Linked DNA regions of Arabidopsis thaliana. The protein of the gene in region 1 interacts with the protein of each later gene in a pairwise test. Each region holds a gene or a part of one and is shown in the gene's direction. Other genes may lie near its edges. The genes, in order: ADK2 and AT5G20810.

What was found.
Region 2: the proteins of ADK2 (region 1) and AT5G20810 interact in a two-hybrid assay, tested with the Arabidopsis thaliana proteins (one large-scale study listed by BioGRID).

Annotation. Positions count from the first base shown.
Region 1 is NC_003076.8:794,409-800,349, forward strand, and holds ADK2 (adenosine kinase 2), read left to right. Parts: upstream 1-2,033; 5' UTR 2,034-2,164; coding exon 2,165-2,259; exon of another isoform or gene 2,260-2,448; coding exon 2,449-2,502; intron 2,503-2,599; exon of another isoform or gene 2,600-2,736; coding exon 2,737-2,783; intron 2,784-2,880; coding exon 2,881-2,912; intron 2,913-3,008; coding exon 3,009-3,110; intron 3,111-3,276; coding exon 3,277-3,421; intron 3,422-3,507; coding exon 3,508-3,605; intron 3,606-3,716; coding exon 3,717-3,787; intron 3,788-3,873; coding exon 3,874-3,940; intron 3,941-4,037; coding exon 4,038-4,221; intron 4,222-4,446; coding exon 4,447-4,589; 3' UTR 4,590-4,893; coding exon of another isoform or gene 4,894-5,238; 3' UTR 5,239-5,402; downstream 5,403-5,941. Other genes in the region: IDH-V (isocitrate dehydrogenase V), read left to right, coding at 1-292, 392-553, 682-756, 929-1,038, 1,131-1,203, 1,340-1,531; AT5G03310 (SAUR-like auxin-responsive protein family), read right to left, coding at 4,894-5,238. UniProt on the Arabidopsis thaliana protein: ATP dependent phosphorylation of adenosine and other related nucleoside analogs to monophosphate derivatives. Essential to sustain methyl recycling.
Region 2 is NC_003076.8:7,041,788-7,046,462, forward strand, and holds AT5G20810 (SAUR-like auxin-responsive protein family), read left to right. Parts: upstream 1-2,013; 5' UTR 2,014-2,402; intron 2,403-2,946; 5' UTR 2,947-3,003; coding exon 3,004-3,576; 3' UTR 3,577-3,736; coding exon of another isoform or gene 3,737-3,768; 3' UTR 3,769-3,925; downstream 3,926-4,675.

The DNA of each region.
Region 1 (5,941 bases):
GTGGGAAGAACACTATGTTGGGACTGAGATAGATCCGAGAACACAGAGTTTCTTGACATGGGAAAGTCTCGAATCTGTGCGTAGAAACAAAGTTGGTTTGAAAGGTCCAATGGCTACTCCAATTGGGAAAGGTCACCGTTCTTTGAACCTGACTCTTAGGAAAGAGCTTAATCTATATGCCAATGTTAGACCTTGTTACAGTCTTCCTGGTTACAAAACTCGTTACGATGATGTTGATCTCATTACCATCAGAGAAAACACGGAAGGAGAATACAGTGGCCTTGAACATCAGGTTTAGTTTGTTTTAAGTCTATTGATCGAATATTTCAGGTTAGTTCTTCTAATAAATGATTCTAATGATGGTTTTGTTTTCTCCTGACGCATATAATAGGTTGTTAGAGGTGTGGTGGAAAGTCTTAAAATCATTACCCGTCAGGCGAGTTTGAGAGTTGCAGAGTATGCTTTTCTCTATGCCAAGACTCATGGAAGAGAGAGAGTTTCTGCTATCCACAAAGCCAACATTATGCAGAAAACTGACGGTCTCTTTCTCAAGGTCTGCCCGTTTTATAACTCCAAGCATTTCTTATACGGAGGGATCAAAGCAATGATTGTTATTTCTGCTAGTTTTTTTTTTTTTACATTTTGTTCTGAGACCATTTTTATTTTGCTTCCGTTTTTCAGTGTTGTCGTGAGGTTGCTGAGAAGTATCCTGAGATCACTTACGAGGAGGTCGTTATTGACAACTGCTGTATGATGGTAAGCTATGACACCGAATCTACTATTTTTTCGTTAATTAAGTTAGTGGTCGGGACTCGGGATCACCTTGTAGATTTAGAAGTTTGGTTTCTTAGCAACTTGTATTTGAGTTCTGCTTTTCCACTGTTTTTACATGTGGAATATGCGACTGATAATCTTGAGATACCTGCAGCTTGTGAAAAACCCAGCACTTTTTGATGTCTTGGTGATGCCAAACCTGTACGGTGACATTATTAGCGATCTGTGTGCCGGATTGGTTGGAGGACTAGGATTGACTCCAAGGTAAAAACACTTGTTCCTTCATCTTGTGTAATAGTGATCTTTAGTATGATTATGAGCTACATCATCTTAAGGCCTTATTATCTTTGACGCAGTTGTAATATTGGAGAAGATGGTGTAGCCCTTGCTGAAGCAGTTCACGGTTCTGCACCTGATATCGCTGGAAAGGTTGGTCCTTCAAACAATATATCATTCCAATTTCATCATTTACGGGCTAAAGAGTATCATTTATGCATCCAATGTTGAAAGATTAATATGTGTGATTTTTAAATTTGTTGTTGTCTTTCTGTTTTGGGTGATGTAGAACTTGGCGAACCCAACCGCGTTGCTTCTGAGTGGAGTGATGATGTTGCGTCACCTGAAGTTCAACGAACAAGCAGAACAAATCCACAGTGCAATCATCAACACCATAGCAGAGGGCAAATACAGAACCGCGGATCTTGGAGGTAGTTCGACCACCACGGAATTCACAAAGGCAATCTGTGATCATCTCTGAACATCGTAAAATCCAATTCTTTATCGAATCTTCTTTTGGGAGCCTTTTTTATAGCCTCGAATTCTTCTTGTTTTCTTGTTTTACGATTAGAATAAAAGAAAAAGCAAAAAAACGGCTCTTCATGAGTTTTGAAGTTATTGTTTCTGCCTTAAAATTTCTCTGCCGTAAGGCAAGAAGATTCATAACACTGGAAAAAGTGATGTTCTTTCTGAATCGATCAGAAGAATTTTGTTTTGTTGCTTGAATTGTTTACATACTCTTATAACTTCAATCAGTTTATCAATTTCATACATACATCCAAACCTTTTTTTTTCTTTTCACTCGTAGAATAAAATGAGTAAATTACTATGATTATGAATGAAATGACAAAATCATCAAATGAAGAAAACTCATACATTTGTAAACCATTTCAATACAAATTAGTCGGTCCACAAAGAAAAGAGTACTAATTTAGTTTAAAAATTATACTTAAAAAAAATCTAAAAAGAGAATAATAATGTGTCGTTGGTGCACCAACTTCCCCTCGAGCTAAGATTATAAAGGCAAGACGCTTCACTCAGCAGCAGTAACTAAACTTGCCTCCAAAAACCAATCCCAGATCTGAATCTCAACCTAAACCTCAGATTCATCATCATGGCTTCTTCTTCTAACTACGATGGAATCCTTCTCGGTATGGGTAACCCACTCCTCGATATCTCTGCCGTCGTCGACGACGAATTTCTCACCAAGTAAATAAACTCTCAGATCCCTCTTTTTCTATTTGTTTCCAATTCCTTTTGCTGTATCCATTGTCGCTATCTCTCTCTGGGATTTTGGTTTGAATCTAGATTTGATAGTTTGATTCTTCTTCAGTGGCATAAACTCTGTGATTTGTGTGCGTTTTTTTTGTTTATGTTGTTCTCTAATCGTGTTGACAGATACGACATCAAGTTGAACAATGCGATTCTCGCGGAAGACAAACATTTGCCCATGTAAGTATTGATTTATGCTCTGCTTTTGGTATTTGATGGGTTAAAATTAGGTGTGGTAATCAAGAGTGTTGATCATGTTATTTAAACTTTCAAGTAGAGATTGATTCAATGCTTCAGAAGTCTGGATTGTTTCAGCTAAATATCTCATCCTCTCTTTATAATATAGACTATATAGTTGATGGTTTGAGAAACAGAAATTCACTTTGAAACTTTTTTTGTTTCTTTTTTTAAAAGGTATGATGAGATGAGTAGCAAGTTCAATGTTGAATACATTGCCGGAGGTAATTAATCTTTTGTCCTGTTTGACGATCCTGTAACTCTTTTATCGTTTATACGTTGACAAGATTATGATATATTGGTTATTCTATTCTTTCTCAGGTGCTACTCAGAACTCAATCAAAGTGGCTCAGGTAGATTCTTTTGCATTTTTCTTGCACTTTTTATGGGTTATAAGTAACCACTGCTAAAAATCAAGGTTTTTTTTTTTTACTTTCTGGTGGCTGCAGTGGATGCTTCAAATTCCTGGGGCAACCAGTTACATGGGATCCATTGGAAAGGACAAATATGGAGAGGCCATGAAGAAGGATGCTACAGCAGCTGGTGTTAATGTAAGCTGTGTTTCCTGGTTCTTCTTTGGTTTTCTTGTTTTCTGTTTGAGTCAATGCGCAGCTGCTGTTCCGTTTGTCTTTTGAGGATAGTATGAAGTTATTGTTGAAACTGAATTCGGATTTTGTAATCAAAGTGCATTAAAATGACACTATGCTTTTGTATCAGGTTCACTATTATGAAGATGAGTCGGCACCTACTGGAACTTGTGGTGTCTGTGTTGTTGGTGGAGAAAGGTCTCTTATTGCGAATCTTTCAGCTGCAAACTGCTACAAGGTTGATCACCTTAAGAAGCCTGAAAACTGGGCATTGGGTAAAATTCTTTTCCCATCGTTGCATCCTTTTAACACTTCTGTATTATCTCTTCGTGATCTGACTGATCAAATGTGTATTGGGTAGTTGAGAAGGCCAAGTTCTACTACATTGCTGGATTCTTCCTCACAGTATCGCCTGAATCCATTCAGTTGGTATCTGAGCACGCTGCTGCAAACAACAAGGTAATTAAGACATGGTCCTCCATTTCATGAGACTCTGTTTCAGCAGAATCTTTTATTTGTTTACAACTGCTTCTTTTATTGACATCCTCTACATATTCACCTATCCTTCAGGTGTTCACAATGAACCTTTCTGCTCCATTCATCTGTGAATTCTTCAAAGATGTGCAGGAGAAGTTCTTGCCGTAAGCTCTCCCTAATTTTATTTTATCCATTACAGATGTTCTGATTGCGTAAATGTACTGAATAACACTCTACATTGATCTTACAGATACATGGACTTCGTTTTCGGCAATGAGACAGAGGCAAGAACCTTCTCTAGGGTTCATGGCTGGGAGGTAAGAAGTTTCTCTAGCACGACTAAATTTCAGCAGGCTGTTCTGTTTTGTATAGCTGAGATAAGAATTAACCATTTATATGTTTATATATGTATAGACTGAAGATGTCGAACAAATAGCCATCAAGATTTCACAGCTTCCCAAGGCCACAGGAACATACAAGAGGACCACTGTGATTACACAGGGCGCTGATCCAGTGGTTGTTGCTGAAGATGGAAAGGTGAAGAAATATCCAGTCATCCCTCTCCCAAAGGAGAAGCTGGTTGACACCAACGGTGCAGGTACTAATTTTGATAATCGAAAGACCGAGTTGTAACCAAACCTACATTCAACTTTATGCTTATTATTATTATACTAGATAGAAACTGACATGATCATAGAATAAGCTGATCCTTTAGCATTTCAAAATTCAAACGAACTTTCTCCTTGAAACTGATACAAAACATGTTCTTCTCTGTGTCATAGACAGAACCAATACCGACTATTTTTGTTGATCTCTCTTACAGGTGATGCATTTGTGGGAGGATTTATGTCACAGTTGGTGAAAGAGAAATCGATTGAGGAATGCGTGAAGGCTGGATGCTATGCGTCGAACGTGGTGATCCAAAGATCTGGCTGCACTTACCCTGAGAAGCCCGACTTTAACTAAACAATTGGGTTACCCTCAGTTTTGTGATATCTTCCAAATAAAACAACCTTTGAATTATTATTGCTTGAGTGTACTTTTTACCACTTTTATTCTCATTATTATTCCCTAATTAATATTACCACCATAGGTTTAGACAAGACAAGTCATGTTTAATCAATGAAGGCTTCGATGAGAAGATTATATGATATCTACCATCAGCTAATACCTAAAAATGGCTCATTTCACAAACTCCTTAAATGGATCCTCTAACATTATTAAAAAAACCTAAACGTTAGTAGTAGAACCATCTTCTTGAATCAAAGACTCATAACGAATAACGAGGAGAAGCGCAACGGAGGACCTCGAGAAAGAGAGTTTCGTCACAAGCAATACAAAGCTTGGAATCTCCGGAAGTGAAATCGTCGTAAGCTTCATCTTTTGATTGATCAAGCAAAGCTCTGAAGATGGGATCGTGAAGCAACGTGATCTTTATAACGAACCTCTTATAAGTTTCCTCATCTTTACCAACGTACACCACAAGGTGTCCCTTTGGTACGTCATGTGGTATATGATATTGATCCTTAGGATTTCCGGTGGCGACGCGGTGTTTGGCAACTCTGCTTGACATTTGCTTCCATGCCTTTGCGATCAGCTTGCTCTTCTTCATCATGTTTATGAGAGAGATGAGAAAGAGAAAGAGAGAGACGTTTTTGGGGTTTAGTACTAGTGCCGTACATGGGTATTTATACACAAAGTCACTAACATAGGTCTACTATATATATATTCAATGTATGTATTATATGGATGAATAGGTATGGGTAATGATTATTTTTGGACCATGTCGTCTTTACAAATAATACATGATCTACATTAGTTATCATGAAAAACAATACATTCCATTCAATACATATATATTACCAAGAAATATGTATAAATATTTGGAACGTCATTATCAATTTAGTTTTGAAAATAAGATGTCTTTGTTCATCATCTTATTTTATTTGTTTTTTGGGGTCAACTACGGCCAAGCTGTACTTACGACATACGAAATCGTACGAACATGCATCTTCCCTCAAACAATGGCCAATGGGCTTTCGCTTTAATCATTGCTTCGTTTTGATTATTTGGTTTCTTTAAATTTTCATGAATACAAAACAAATCTTTATCGGCATGGCATGCACATTGGCACTCAACTATTTGGCATAGAGATAATGTATGAGTGTCGTCACAGTAGTAGAATCACTTAAAGTGATTTGCATAACTTTAACAATTAGTAGAATCACTTTAACGATGTTATTTAACGAAAGCAGAAATTCTTTAGAGAAGAGCTAAAATTTGAAAGATTTGTTTTTCTTATAAAAAGGAGACGCATT
Region 2 (4,675 bases), 6.2 Mb from region 1:
TTGATCCAAATGATATCCCGTTGATAAGTGCCCTGCATGTGGGTGCGCCCAACAAAGAGGATACTCTAGGTTGGCATTTTACAAAATCCGGAAAATATACTTTCAAATCTGGATATCATACTTCTCGGATAGAATATATAGATACAAATTTGTCTTTTATTGGTCCGGAGATCACATTGCTTAAAGCATATTCTTGGAAAGTGCAATGTCCGCCAAAGCTACGCCACTTTTTGTGGCAAATTTTAGCGAGTTGCGTGCCGGTCAGAGAAAATTTACGGAAAAGAGGCATAAATTGTGATATAGGTTGCGCAAGATGCGGTGCCACGGAGAAAACAATTAATCATACACTTTTTCAATGTCATCCAGCTCGACAGATTTGGGCGCTTTCACAGATTCCCACGGTTATAGGAATTTTTCCCTCGGATTCTATTTATGAGAATTTAGATCACTTATTTTGGAGAGTACAATCAGCAGTTGATTCATTTTCATATCCATGGATTATCTGGTATATTTGGAAAGCACGGAATGCAAAGCTTTTTGATAATGTGGATAAAGATCCACTTGATATTTTAAGTTTAGCGGAAAAAGAAGCACAATCGTGGAAATCAGCTCAAGTTGAGCTACATTCTGAAAATCCGGTTTCTTTTTTGGAATCACGAACTCGTGTGAGAAATATCTCAGAGGATAATGTTTATGCAGGACTTCGTTGTTTTGTAGACGGATCTTGGAAAGAGAGTGATCAGTTTTCAGGATTAGGATGGTTTTGTACATCATCAAATGAAGAAACCTCAAGCATGGGCACTACTAATCTCCGTAGAAGTCTCTCCCCATTACATACAGAAGTTGAAGCTCTTCTTTGGGGGATGAAGTGTATGATCGGTGCAGATAACTAAGATGTAGCGTTCTTTACAGACTGTTCAGACCTGGGAAGATGGTGTCTTCCCCAACCGAATGGCCAGCATTTTCAGGATATTTCTAGGAATTTCAGAGCGACAAGGATGAGTTTTCAAACTTCTCTTTATCTTTAATCTCACGACGCGCAAATGTAAAAGCGGATAATTTGGCACGGAATGTCCGTTCTGAATCGCATCACATCACTTATGTAAACAACATTCCACAGGAATGACTCTTTTGAGTTATAATTAAAAGCAGATGACAAAAAAAAAAAGTGTAAACGTCGTTTTTTTTTTGTTTTGTATTTAAGTTAGTATACAATGACCAAATTACACTCTCTTCACTTAAATAGTTAACACATTTACGAAGAACCATTCCGTATTTCCTTGTCTTGTTTTTTTTAATAAATAAAAACTTCTAAAATAGAAATAAAAAGTTTTAATAAATAAAAACTCCTATAAATAGAAATAAAAAGAAGAAAGATATGTTTTATTACTAAATTAAAAGAGTCATATTTTTATTAAAAAATATATATAAGACTCTTAGAAAAACAAAAAAATCATAAATAACTTATAGACCAACCATTTAAGCCCATCAGACTACTCCTTATAGAAAAGGTTATACTACGGCCCATTTAGACAGATAGAACTGTCTAATTCAAGAATTTAATTATGAGAAGAAACTTTATCAAAAACAATGCACATGAGAGAAGATTTTGTAAAATCCATCCATGATCCTCAGCAAAAAGAACACTATCCACAATTATATAATCTTTTCTTTAGAATAAGCCCACATCTTATAATAAGCTTCTGACATAAATTATCTTATTACTAAATTGATATATCATAAATTAACAGGATCAACTAAGTTAAGTAAATTATTATAAAATAATAATAATAAGTTAAAGTACATAATACATTATAGATCACATAATTAAAAACTTTAACAAGGAAGGCACGGATGAGGTGTTAAATGAATAATAAAGTAGTAAAGGGGTAAAATTGTAAAATAAAGTAAATATCGGAGTAAAGGGGTCAAATTGAAAATAAAGTAACCATCGGTATCGAGAAGAACGTGAGAAAATAAAACGGAAGAACCTGAAAAGGCGAAAGTGACGGGAAAGCCATCAAAACAAATCTGTGCGAGAGAGAATCAAAAACGAAGAAAACTCAAAAACTATAAAATCCAAATAAAGCCTAATCCCTAATTTCTCTCATCTCCCAAAATTCGCTTCTCTATTCGTTTTTTTTTCACCCCCACCAAATATTTAGATTCTATCGATTTTTTTTTCTTAATTTTTTTTTTGTAGTTTCAGTACTTAGAAATTGCTTCTTCCTCTCATATCATCATCATCGTTGAGCTCTGCCAGTCTCCGAGAACAGAATTATCCTTAAAAAAAAGATCGAAGCGAATCATAACAAACAAATTTTCGGGGGCTATTTTTTTTTGCATGGTGTTATTCATCGTGTCCATAGCTAAAGCAAGCTTCAATTCGTTTTCCTCTTCAGGTAATTTATACTCTTTGATAATGTAATTTACACGATTGCGTATTAGTCTGTTTCAGCTACGTGTTTTGGTTTCATCTGAACTATTTACAGTTTTTGAGAAGAACTTTGATTTAGCGGATTGGGATCAAATCTGGATTCATTTTCGCTGATTTTGCTAAATAAAGTTAGCGAAATTATATTTTAAAAAAAACTTAGGGTTTGATGTTCTTTAGATTGATTTGGTTTACCATAGATAAGAATTGGACCCTAATAATATTTAGGAATCTGAGAAAACATTCCCTTGATAAAGACGTCTTTGGGATCTGCTTCTCTGTGTATTTGGGTGGGTCCTCTGTTTTTTTTGATGATATTCTTTTCTTTATTTGGGACCTAACCTATTTATATAGTAATGCTTCAAATTGATTTAGAGGTCAATAAACTTGGTTAATTGATTTTTAATTCTTTCTCGTTACACAGATTTATAGTAATGTGTATTTTCATTTATTTTGATGCAACTGAGTCAGAAAGAAACTAATCAAACAGTTTTGTGACATTGTAAATGCAGCTACAAAGGGAAGAAGAAGATCATATGTGACATTTGATCTTTCGTTATACTAGCCAGATGGATGAAAACAACGCGGCCAAGTTAACCGGTATCAGGCAGATTGTCAGGCTTAAGGAGATTTTGCAGAAATGGCAAACCGTCACCATAGGCCCCAAGTCAGAAGTTCCTCCATTGGCAGCTGGAAAGCAAGCAGTGGCGATGATTTCGCCCGCCATCAACAAGAGGCTATTAGATGTCAAGAACGGTGACTCGGATGAGGAAACCTGTCAAAGTCCTGAGCCGCCTCATGATGTTCCTAAAGGGAATCTTGCTGTTTATGTTGGACCGGAGCTAAGGAGGTTTATCATACCGACAAGCTATCTTAGCCACTCTCTGTTCAAGGTTTTGCTCGAGAAAGCAGAGGAAGAGTTTGGGTTTGATCAGAGCGGTGCGCTCACCATCCCTTGCGAGGTCGAGACTTTCAAGTACTTGCTTAAGTGCATGGAGAACAATCTTAAAGATCTTCATCCTGATGACAACTCTGGTAAGCCCCCCAAAGACCAACTCTTACCTAGAGATCATACCATGAACTCAAATCCTGGTGGCCAGCCAAGGCTTAATCCAGGGACTGGGTTAAAGTCTAAACCCTGAAGAATCAGGTCTAAAAACATGCTGCGTTTAAAATGGGCCGGGCCAAGCCCGTTAACATTCACAAGTTTGTTTGATGAGAGAACAAGCAAGACGATTAGTTATTAGACACTGTTATGCTGATTCTTGAGAAACACTAATGGCTTTGTCTTGTCTTTTGCAGATGGGGAGGCAGTAGCAGCAAAGGAAGAGTAAATACAAGTCAAGTGATAAAAAATCTTAAAACATTTATTTTGTTTTGATTCTCTTGTTATCCTTTAATCATATACTGATGGAAATTGTTAATTAGGGATGATTACTTTGGGGTGTAATTGTAAAATCAGATTATCTTTGTGTTTTCCTGGTTTCTTTATTGATTCTCCATTCTTTTTTCAAGGGGGATTTAAGTTTTAGGACATGTATGTTAGATGTGAAAAAATTTGGTGGTCAAAGTGTGATACGAAACAAAAATATAACTTCTTGTACGAAAACATGTTCACATTTCTTGTCTTCTTCTTCGATGTTGTTATCGAAAATTGTTATGTGTGACAATCAAGTAGACTAATGAATAATATGCAACAATGTGGGGAAGATGGATTGTGGTCGAATTGTCAAGAACTGGTCGGATTTGGTATATAATTCGTATACACTACTTACGATTGTTTGGGCCGGAGCTAACAGTTAAAGAATTCTCCCAAACAGCATGCACTCGAATTCAGGAAAGACACAACTTCACCCTTTGCTATGGGACCAAAGTCACCAAGCACTACTTATTTGGTTTTCCATGTGTTTCCAATCTCCAAAAAGCGGTGTACCCCATTCCAAGTCTTGCATTCGTCTGTTAGCGATCCAGTCAGAAAAAAATTTCGTTTCTAATTTTTCACATAAAGCCTAAATATGTTTAATCGTTTTTTTTTTCATTCTGCATTTTACCAAATAAAATCAGTTTCTTACATGACTTTTGCCAAAACAAAAATTAAAAAACATCACATGTAGATTTAATTTATTATATTTTTTTTTCTCAGTCATCATATTTCTTTTGCGACTTTAAAAGATGCAAATCCGTCTAGACTTTATCAAAATTATTTATCTATATAATACGTTCATTGTTTAATTGTTTAGT